2 linked regions of the Callithrix jacchus genome follow. The main gene of each other region encodes a partner of the protein of the gene in region 2 in a complex. Links are inferred from orthologs where the notes say so. Each region holds a gene or a part of one and is shown on either strand. Other genes may lie near its edges.

The links. The genes of interacting proteins can lie anywhere in the genome.
Region 1: the proteins of BCKDHA (region 2) and BCKDHB are in contact, whole or in part, in a crystal structure (PDB 1V16), measured with the Homo sapiens proteins. The link is inferred for Callithrix jacchus from reciprocal best matches to the Homo sapiens genes BCKDHA and BCKDHB. Residues at the interface, in NP_000700.1 of Homo sapiens: Phe155, Leu185, Gly186, Lys187, Arg189, Gln190, Gly196, Cys197, Lys198, Phe202, Val203, Thr204, Ser206, Pro208, Thr211, Pro214, Gln215, Val217, Gly218, Ala219, Tyr221, Ala222, Arg225, Gly244, Asp245, Ala248, Asn251, Phe252, Thr255, Leu256; in NP_000047.1 of Homo sapiens: Pro89, Thr90, Val92, Asp117, Arg118, Phe120, Asn121, Thr122, Pro123, Cys125, Gln127, Gly128, Ile129, Gly131, Phe132, Ile134, Gly135, Ile136, Val138, Thr139, Asp158, Gln159, Asn162, Glu163, Ala165, Tyr167, Arg168, Tyr169, Arg170, Ser171.

What each region holds. Positions count from the first base shown.
Region 1 is NC_133505.1:85,555,723-85,561,899, forward strand, and holds the start of BCKDHB (2-oxoisovalerate dehydrogenase subunit beta, mitochondrial), read left to right. Parts: upstream 1-2,706; 5' UTR 2,707-2,729; coding exon 2,730-2,925; intron 2,926-6,177. UniProt on the Homo sapiens protein: Together with BCKDHA forms the heterotetrameric E1 subunit of the mitochondrial branched-chain alpha-ketoacid dehydrogenase (BCKD) complex.
Region 2 is NC_133523.1:36,694,323-36,699,307, forward strand, and holds part of BCKDHA (2-oxoisovalerate dehydrogenase subunit alpha, mitochondrial), read left to right. Parts: intron 1-3,003; coding exon 3,004-3,210; intron 3,211-3,440; coding exon 3,441-3,582; intron 3,583-3,692; exon of another isoform or gene 3,693-3,816; coding exon 3,817-3,988; exon of another isoform or gene 3,989-4,985. UniProt on the Homo sapiens protein: Together with BCKDHB forms the heterotetrameric E1 subunit of the mitochondrial branched-chain alpha-ketoacid dehydrogenase (BCKD) complex.

The DNA.
Region 1 (6,177 bases), on a different chromosome or scaffold from region 2:
TGTTGAACAACAAGAACATGTGGACTCAGGGAGAGGAGCATCACACACTGGGGGCAGTTGGAGGGGGAAGGGGAGAGACAGCGGGGGGTGGAGAGGGAGGGGAGGGATAACTTGGGGAGAAATGCCAGATACAGTATGCACCTAACGTAAAATAAATAAATTAAAAAAATTTTTAAGACAAATTTTTTAAAATAAATTCTAAAAATTTTGTCTTATATGAGATCTTATAAGTTGACATTGACATTAACATTGTCATTTTAATTACCTATTATTTGAATACCCTATATAATGACAGTCAAATTAAAGATTTAGGACCAATGTAAAAAAAAAGTAGCTCAAGCAAAGAGGGGAATACATTTTAAGGATGTGGTGATGTCTCATAGAACCCCAGGACCAGAAGGCTGTAAGGACTTGGGAATAAATGGAATCTAGAATTCAAATGTAATCATACTCTTGATCTTTTCTGGTTCACAAAATTACTGAAACTCCCATTTTTTTTTTTTTTGCATTTACTAGTTGCATTTAAAGATTACCTGATCTTTCTTTCTAAATTAGACTTCTGAAATTCCCAGAAAAGGACAGTTTACCAAATCTGTCCTTTACCAAATGGAGGAAAGTCCCATTCTAATACCATAGAGATTTTCATTGATATCAGGCAATTGGTGTGGTAGAGATGGGGTAAATTAAAAAAAAAAAAAGTAGTTTGTAAAGTAGGTGAATCTGGCAGGTGCTATCTTTGCTGTTCCTGGCTACATGTAGTTGGAAGTTCGCACCTCTTAGACCAGCATACAAAACCTTCAAAATCTCCCTTTAATCCGTTTTTTTCTACCTTCTCTGTTAACCCTGTATCATTCCCTATTCCCTGAATCTAGGAGCAGCAAGCTACCTTCTTTTCCTGGAAAGCACTGTGCTCTTCATGCCTATCAGCCTTTGCACAGGTCTTTTCTTAGTTTGGAATTCCTTTTCCTCCCTAGTCTGCCTGGTACCTTCTACTCATCTTTTAGGTCTGGCTCAGACCTGTTATTTCTGGAAACACTTGACTTTTAAAGAAGAGTTTATTGCTCTTTTTGTGTTTCACTTTGTTTGCACTATTCTAGGACCCCTATCACATTGGACTGTAGTTGTCTCTTTTTTTCTCTAATCTGTCTTTTTTTTTTTTTTTACCAACTTGGACATTTTAAAACTAAAACGATGACTTAATCTTATTTGTCTCAATGGTGGCTTGTCATTGGCTTGTATATAGCAGAGTTCCATAAGATTCCCATCAGTAGAAAAATAGAAAAACTATTTTTCTGTTTTTCTCCCAGACCTAAGTAATCTCAGCACCCCCAGGTCTGTTAACTATCAGTAAGTAGAAAAAAAAGCTCTATTCATATTTAACCTTGTTCTTTATTCTATTCTAAACACAAATTTGACTATGTAAGTGTAAGTTCATTTTGTTACCACTTTCTTTCATTAAAACAAAAATACTCTTCATGAGCTTGCAAAACACTCTAACCCACACTATTAAAACAGCAGAAGTGAATACTAACAAAAGCCAAGATCAAAAATTTCCCAAATGTTAAATTTTGGACTTAGTGTGGGAGTAGGAAAAATGGAGACATAATTTTGGTTCTACCTTAGGCAGTTTTTAATTGCTGTTTTTCAATCTCAGTCAGAAAACACATCTGTCTGCCCTCCCTTTCACCCAGTTTCTACTCTCTCCTCTCTTGCCCCTGTGCAAAACCAAAGGGGTTGAGAGGCCAGGTGTAAGGGAAGAGGAATGTTCTTTTCCTCCCTTTCTTCTTCAAATCTGTTTTGGGCCCATCCTTCCCCACCCACTCATTTTCATCTGACGTACACAGTCATGATTGCCTCTTGTCATTTTCGATTTTAAAATATCTCACATTTTTCATGTTTTTTTGGTATATTCATAGAGAAGGTATCCTGGTAAAACACTTCGATTAAAGCAAATTTACATAGTTGATTAGTATAAATAAAAATTAGTGGCTTAAATTCTCCAGGTTTCAATGCTACTTAGACTAAGCCAGTCTTGTAATTTTCGCTACTTCTGGGCAAAATGTATCTGAATTGCTATTCAGTGGATTTGAAGGATGAAATCTAAGTTTACCTCTTTCATCTCTCATTTAAATCTGGAAAAACAAAATCAATAAAAATTGATATATGCTTATTAAGCATTTAAAGGAGGGTGTGAATAAGGAGTGGAGGCTCTGAGCAGTGACTCCAGCAGTTTTCTGAAAGTCAAAACCAATAACCAATGCCAATCAGTAGCTCTCTTCAGCTTTCACACAATAATAGAGACAGAATAGGAGAGGATAAAAAAAGGGTTACATTAAAAAAAAAAGTATGGATCTTAAAATGAAAACAACCATTGGAAATGGCACTGTAGATGACACCAGTAAAGATCGCTTCCAGGCACTGTCTGGAACTTTGCAGACTCGGTCCTCAAGCCAAGCCCGCACAGCTGACGTCGGGGAGGCTCCACCCCAGAAACTATTTCCTTGGCTCCACCTCCGCCTCACCAAGCTCATTTTCCGCATGCGCACAAGGAGAAGAAGCGGGACGTCTCGTCACGTCCACTTCCCCGCCCCGGAATTTCCAGTTCCGATTGGTCCATTTCACGGGAACGCCCCTCTGGCCCGACCAATGTGGAAGCCGTCTCGGGTACTCCGCCCTCCCCACGGGCAGCGAGCGGCTGCAGTGCTTGAGAAACCCGGCGGCAAGCGGGGATGGCGGCTGTGGGTTCGGCTGCCAGCTGGCTGTTCAGGCTCAGGGCGGCAGGGGCTGAGGGGCACTGGCGTCGGCTCTGTGGCGCGGGCCTGGCGCGGGGCTTTCTGCACCCCGCCGCGACTGGCAAGGATGCGGCTCAGAGGCGGCAGGTGGCTCATTTCACTTTCCAGCCGGACCCGGAGCCCCGGGAGTACGGTGAGCCAGGGACTGCCCACCAGGTCTCGCTGTATCCCAGACTCCCAGGCTCTCCGACGCTCGCGAGGGGCAGGCAGCAATCCTTGCATCCCAGCTTAATCCTGCCTTACCTTCTAGAACCTCCCTGCCCCAGGGTCTAACTGTGATTCACTTCTTGTTCTAATTTTTGTCATTGTTCCGCCCTCGGGACGCAGCCCCCGCTCCCCCGCACCTTTGAGACGGGTGAGAGGGCATGCTGCTGTCTGGAAGGGCCTGAGGGTGGAGGGGTGGTGCCCAGGGAACGCCCCCCTTCCTTTCTCCTCTATCCTTGCTTTCTCAACTCAGGCCTTAGGTGTGTTCCAGCCTCTCTGGGATTGGGCCATTAGCTTTGGTGATATATATATATATATAGAGTAAGGATTCAGTGTTCATTTTTATTTTGTCCCTTGGTTTTTTCTTATCTACAGAAAAAAACCAAAAAAACCATATATATCCATGTGTGTATATATATATATATATATATTTTTTTTTTTTTTTTTTTCTGCTGAGACTAAGTAACTGAATTGATTTTCCCAAGGTTACAGAACAGGTTCTACCTAGAGATGAGAAAGAATCCAGACTTTCCATTTGAGCTTAATACTGAGCTTGTGCCTGCGCTCTGCTGCCACTTAGCCAAGGAGGTGAAGGTGGTGGGAGAAGGAAGCCATAGGAAGGAAATGTAGCAAACTCCTCATAGTGTGACTATTACATGATTTTTACCATTTCTGCAAGTTTCATGTAATGTTCTAAAGATCCAGTGTTTCTCATCAGAATATCAGGAAATTGTAGGGAAACATGTATTGCTTCCTTGTCTAATAACTTCTCACTTTGAGCTGACATTTTTGGAAGTGTGTCTTTCCTTGTGGATAAGAATGAAGATTTATTGAGTGCTTACCAGGGTCAGGCACTATGTGTACGTTTCATCATCTCATTTAAGGCTTAGCTTAGGACGACCTTAAAAGGTTAGTAATGTTTTTATTCCCGTTTTGCAGTTAGGTTAATGGAAGTCTTGAGACAGTTTGTCCAAGATTACACAGATAAGTTAGTGGTAGCTCCAAAGCTCCAGCTTTTGAATCTAATTGGTCAGATTCCAGAACTTCCAGTCTAAACAACGTACTAAAATGTGTGTAGATTTACTAGGAGGGTGTCTCGTGTAACAGTAGGTACCATAAAGGTTAATAGTAGGTTTTTTTTCCACAATCAAAATGAGCCCTGAATTCTGTCTTCAAAGCAAAGAAATTTTGGCCTAATACTTGAGAAATAGAGTACAGGTTTTCTTAATCCACCTTTCCATAGTTGTAAATTTACTAAAATCTAAGTAAAATGATACCATGTTTATAAGCTTATTCCTATCATAAAAATAATGCAAGCATATTACAGATAATTTGGATAATGGAGAAAAAGTAAAAAAAAAAAATCACCACCCATGACAGTAAATATTGCTAACATTTTGGTGTGTATCTTTTTTTTTTTTCATTTTATTTTGGTGTGTATCCTTACAGGTATTTCCTTTCAGTTTAGTATTTTCCATACTTTTAGTTTTAATACAAATACAACTTATTTAATCAGAAGCATTTTCCTAGAATGTAGTTTTTATAATGTTCTTGAGAATTTAGAAGAAATGTTCTGTGGAGTAAAGATGCTACAATTCTTTTACAAGTTAAAATCTTGATCCTGGAATCCAATTGTCCTAAGTTTGATCTTGTTTTGGCTATCTGTAACTTTGGAGTTATCCTCTATACGCCTCAGGTTCTTCATAATGTAAGGGGTTAATAATAGTACTTACTTCAGAAGGTTGTTATGAGGGCTACATAAAACAGTAGTAGTACTTAACACAGTGTTTGACAACTGAGAATCAATCATTCACTCCAGAAGTGGAACCATTAAATACTTATCATTATGTTTTTGTTGTTACAGTTTTGCAATTTTATAAATAATGCAGATATAAGCATTTCATGTATATGGCTTTTATGTATCTGAGATTATTTCTTTAGGATAGAGTCCTGAATGTTTTAATGGATTTTTAATGCATAGTTCAAATTTATACTCCAATTTATACCCCATGATATGTATGAGTGTGAGTATTGGATGTTAATTGCTAAAATCAGGTGTGTGCATGTACATTCTTGGGTATTTTGTGCTAAATGTACTTTGTTTTACTTTTTATTTGTTTCATTTCCATTGAGGAATATTTTCTTATGTTTTTGTTAACTTGATTTATTTTTAATTAAGAACTATTAGATGCATTTACATATTTTTAAAAGTATACTCAGTATTTTTCCCATCAATACCAATACTATCTACCATTATTGCATAGCTGCTCTTTTCCAGGTGTTGTGTTAGACATCAGTTTATAATCCTCACAGTAACCTTGTGAGCTAGATATTATTATGCTCATTTTAAAGATGAGAAAATTGAGGCTCAGAAATTTTAGTACTTGCCCAAGTCTGGTAAGTGGCAAAGCCAGAGTTTGAATCGTGATGTGTTTGACTCCAAAGCCTCCCATGCTACTTATATACTAATATTTTGTCTATTAAAAAATATTGAAGATACTTTCTGCTTTTCACATGTGATGCAAATACTTTTATTTTGGTTGTTTTGACATATAAATGGTACTCCTTAAATAGGAGGTAGTCAGATTAGATTCTGAATAGGTGACACTGATGCTGCTTTATGCTGGTATGTTTGCTGCCTTTATTACACTGTGTTGTTCTCTGAGAACAGTTCATCCTGGCCTTTCCATGCCCCTGATTCTTGAGTATTATATGGATGTGAGCTTGTTATTCAGTCATTCTGTGTATTTTTATTTTCTTCTGGATGCCAGACTCTGCTAGCTGCTAAGGATATGATCGTGGACCTGTTGGAGGGTAATCTGAATCTTCTTTTTGGACACTTTGTACCTTTGTCTCCCAGGAAATTCAAAGCTTTTGTGGTATTTTCATCCAGGGTTGGGCTACCCACAAGAAGGCCATCTGTGTAGTGGAATATACTCCTATTCCTTAATTGCAGACCCCTCATATCCCACTCTAAGGCTCAAGCAAAGAAAAGGGGGCTATCCTGAAAACCCTGGGGAAGTACTGTCTAAGTGTATTGTTGTTTTTCTTTGGTATTAGGATTTTCCCATTCAAAGGCAAAAAGGTATTGGGATTCTGGGGCCAGAGAAATGGAAAAGAAAGCATCTTTTAGGTTTAGGACTGAGAACATTTAGCATCCCCAGCACCTGAATCAGGAGAT
Region 2 (4,985 bases):
TATACCACCATGCCCAGCTAATTTTTAGTAGAGATGGGGTTTCACCATGTTGGCCAGCCTGGTCTCAAACTCATGACCTCAAATCACCCACCTCGGTCTCCTAAAGTGTAGGAATTACAGGCATGAGCCACCGCGCCCAGCCTTTCTTTTCTTGTTTTGTTTTTTTAATAAAGATGGGATTTCACCATGATGGCCAGGCTGGTCTTGAACTCCTGACCTCAGGTGATCCAGCCACCTCGGCCTCCCAAAGTGCTAGGATTACAGGCATGAGCCACCACACCTGGCCTCTTTTTTTTTTTTTTTTTTTAAGGCAGACTCTTGCTCCATCGCTCAGGCTGGAGTGCCGTGGTGCGATCTTGGCTCACTGCAACCTCTGCTGCCCAGGTTCAAGCGATTCTCCTGCCTTAGTCTCCTGATTAGCTGAGACTACAGGTATGTACCACCATGCCCAGCTAATTTTTGTATTTTTCATTGAGGCAGGGTTTCACCATGTTGGCCAGGCTGATCTGAAACTCTTGACCTCAGGTGATTCGCCTGCCTCAGCCTCCCAAAGTGTTAAGATTACAGGCGTGAGCCACTGCACCCAGCCCACTTTTTTTTTTTTTGGTCTGAGACAGGGTTTGACTCTCTTCAGTCAGGTTGGAGTACAATGATGCAATCTCTGCTCACTGTAACCACCTCCTGGGCTCAAGTGATTCTCCTGACTTAGCCACCTAAGTAGCTGGGATTATGGGCATATGCCACTGCTTCTGGATGATTTTTTGTATTTTTTGTAGAGACAAGCTTTTACTACATTGGCCAGGCTGGTCATGAACTCCTGAGCTCAAGTGATCTGCCCGCCTTGGCCTCTCAAACTGCTGGGATTACAGGCGTGAACCACTGCACCCAGCCTGTGCTCCAGACTTTGAATGCACCTCTTGTCTGGGACCCTTTAGATGAGGGCTCTAGTGCTATCCCCACCACATTCAGGGGCCTGTGTGACCACACTCTGGATTTCTCAAACGCATGCCCGCTGCATTTATCTGCTCACAAACGTAGCCCACATGTTCCTGAGTGTTGCAAGGAGTGCCACTCCTTGCGTACTGGCACCAAGTTCCACTGTGCCGATGCTGCACGTTCATTGTATAACAGCACCCTCATTGTGGCCTTGGGAGCAGAGGTTATTATTTGCTCTTTTTCGTGTTTTAAAGAGCAGGAGGTCCATGTCCTGTGTGTGAGAGAGAGAGCAAGCGAGTGAGAAAAAAAAAGTGCAGGAAGCCTGGCCAACATTGCCAAGCCCTGTCCCTACTAAAAATACAAAAATTAGCCGGGCGTGGCATGCATCTGTAATCCTAGCTACTCGGGAGGCTGAAGCACTAAAAATACAAAAATTAGCCGGCCGTGGTGGTGCGCACCTGTAATCCCAGTTACTTGGGAGGCTGAAGCACTGAAAATACAAAAATTAACCGGCCGTGGTGGTGCGCACCTGTAATCCCAGCTACTTGGGAGGCTGAAGCAGGGGGATCACTTGAACTTGGGAGGCAGAGGCTGCAGTGAGCTGAGATCATGCTATGTCACTCTAGCCAGAGTGAGACCCTGTCAAAAAAAAACAAAAAACGGGAAATTGAAGTGAAAGAGGGAAGTCACTCGCTAACGGTTACATGGCAGAGACGGAGAGGAGCAGGGACTCCAGTCATGGACTCTGTGCCTCCAGAGCCTGGGTTCTCGGCCCTGATGTTTGTCTGCCTCAGTCCTCAGAGTCAAGCAAGCTTCCTCAAAGCTTACTGTAGGTGCCCTGAAGCCTCTTTTCTTATAAGGGTTTGTTTGGAAAGCAAACCCACTGGGTACCAGGTCTGCACCCTCATAGTGTGGAGACTAAGGAATCAGAACCCCTTCCTGCCCTCGGGGGCCTGTAGCCTGATGGAGGGTCAGTCTGGGCTCTGGCTTCTCTGCCCTAGGGCAGCCGAGATGCACGAAGTCTGTGTGTCTCCAGACCTCCGCACTGTACCTGGTGCTGCAGAGGGCTCTGCACCCCTTAGCTTAATATTCTGTTGGGGAACAAGAAGCAGTTCGAGCCTCTTAGGTGGGAGGTAGGCAGGGAAGCTTTCTCGGAGGCAGGGGCATTTGAGCTAAAGGTAATAGGGTTTCCACAAGGCTGGGGCCTGGTCCTAACCTTCCCTCTGGGCCCCTGCTAAGTCCCTTCAAATGTACAAATTTCTTGCCCTGTGCCGGTGCCACTCTAAAGTGCCGGGAACAAAAGCAACGCAAATCTCGGCCCTCCTGGTGCTGCCATTGTGGGGGAGACAGACAGTAACAAAGATGGAGAGGGAGCACCTGGAGTATGTGGGGGGGGGCGGGGGTCCTGCAGGGAGCAGCCAAGCCAGCAGGGAGTGGGGGACTGTGGCCATCACTAGAGTGACACTGAAGTATGGACCAGAGGTGAGGGAGGGAGCCATGTGGTGTCTTGAGGCAGGTGTGTGCCTGGTGTGTTTGAGGGGCAGGTGTGGGGTGGTTGGAGGTAAAGTCCAGGAGGCGGTGGGAGGGGTGCAGACTGTGCAGGTTGGGTGGGGCCTCAAGGCCTTTGCCTTTAGCAGGAACGTTGACTTTTACTCCGGGTGGGGAGGAGTCTGCTCCTCCTTGGCCTGGCTCCTGTTCATGGAGTTAGCAGTCTGCCCTGTGGGGAACGGATTGGGCAGCATGTGGTGGGCTAGCAAGGCAGCTGCTCGGTAACTTGGGCCTGAGCAGGGTGCTGCTGCAGAGGAAGAGGTGAGGGGTGTCAGGTTCTGAAGGGGAATGGGGGGAAGTTTGGCTTGGAGTCTTCGGCCTGAGCGGTTAGAAGGGTGGAGCTGCTCTCAGCGAGTGGGAGGAGACTTGGGCAGATGCTGGGGGGGGCATCAGGAGCTCAGGTTTTTTCTTTCCCCTCGAAGCCTAGGGCCTGCTGGCTGAGCCGCAGAGCCCTGGGTCACGTGAGTGTGAATGAGTGTGAGTCTCTGCCCCTGCTCACCACCCTCTCATCCTCTGCAGCGGTAGGGGCGGCCTATGCAGCCAAGCGGGCCAACGCCAACAGGGTCGTCATCTGTTACTTCGGCGAGGGGGCGGCCAGTGAGGGGGATGCCCACGCTGGCTTCAACTTTGCTGCCACACTCGAGTGCCCCATCATCTTCTTCTGCCGGAACAATGGCTATGCCATCTCCACACCCACCTCCGAGCAGTACCGTGGCGATGGCATTGGTATGCTGGCCGACCCTCACCCGGCCGGGATCATCTCCTTCCCTCCATTTCCCCACCTTCCTGGTTCTGGTCCTGTGTCCTGTGGCGTCTGGCACCTGGTCGGCCACGGGAGTCGAGGTCCTGAGCCCTCTGCCTTGCTCTCTCCTGCCCTCTCCCTGCTCATCCCCTCAGCCCCATGCATTTTCCTCATCTGAACCCTGGCCTGATCCGCCTTCTCTGTGTCCCCACAGCAGCACGAGGCCCCGGATATGGCATCCTGTCAATCCGTGTGGATGGCAATGATGTGTTTGCTGTGTACAACGCCACAAAGGAGGCCCGACGGCGGGCTGTGGCAGAGAACCAGCCCTTCCTCATCGAGGCCATGACCTACAGGTGCCCACTGCCCCCCCCCCCCGTCAGCTCCCCCAGAGTGCTGGCAGCCACCATGGCATCTTCCGTATATGGATCACCGTCCCCAAAACATGGCCTCATCACCTCACGTGTTGCATCTTCCCCTTGCCTTTATTCTGTTTCCATTCCTCCTTCCCTAGTCCATCCCCTGTCCTCCCTCCTGACCCCCACTCCAGGGAGCCCCACACTGACCTGGGGCCACTTTCCCTTGTGCAGGATCGGGCACCACAGCACCAGTGACGACAGCTCGGCATACCGCTCGGTGGACGAGGTCAATTACTGGGACAAGCAGGACCACCCCATCTCCCGGCTGCGGCACTACCTGCTGAGCCAAGGCTGGTGGGACGAGGAGCAGGAGAAGGCCTGGAGGAAGCAGTCCCGCAAGAAGGTGAGGGCGCCCTGCCGGGAGGGTATGCCAGGGGCTGCTTCGGCCTGCAGAGCTCAGGAAGGATTTACAGGGCACCGAACTAGGGGGCTCAGGAATGACCCTGATGATGTCTCAGATGTAGCCTGTGGAGCCAGGCTGCTGGGGCCACATGTGTCCTGGCTCTGTGTTTTTGGCACGTTGTCCTCCGCTTCTTTGTCCTTGAAGGAGGATGCTGGTGGTGCCCATTTCAGAAACTGATTCGAGGCTAGGCGCAGTGGCTCACACCTGTAATCCCAGCAGTTTGGGAGGCCGAGGCAGGCAGATCACTTGAGGTTGGGAGTTTGAGACCAGCCTGGCTAACATGGTGAAACCCCATCTCTACTAAAAATACAAAAATTAGGGCAGGGTGTGGCGGCTCACGCCTATAATCTTAGCACTTCGGGAGGCCAAGGCAGGTGGATCACCTGAGGTCAGAGATTTGAGACCAGCCTGGCCAACATGGTGAAACCTCATCTCTAATAAAAAAAAATTTAGTCGGGCACAGTGGAGGGTGCCTGTAATCCCAGCTGCTCAGGAGGCTGAGGCATGAGAATCCCTTGAATTTGGGAGGCAGAGCTTACAGTGATCCTCGATGGCACCACTGTATTCCAGCTTGAGCAACAGAGTGATACTACCTCTTTAAAAAAAAAAAAAAAAGCCAGGCGCAGTGGCTCAAGCCTGTAATCCCAGCACTTTGGGAGGCCGAGGCGGGTGGATCACGAGGTTAAGAGATCGAGACCATCCTGGTCAACATGGTGAAACCGCGTCTCTCCTAAAAATACAAAAAATGAGCTGGGCATGGTGGCGTGTGCCTGTAATCCCAGCTACTCGGGAGGCTGAGGCAGAATTTCCTGAACCCAGGAGGCGGAGGTTGCAGTGAGCCGAGATCACGCCATTGCACTCCAGCCTGGGTAACATGAGTGAAACTCGGTCTCAAAAAAAAAAAAAAAAAAAAACGCTGGCTTGAGGAGTAGGTGGT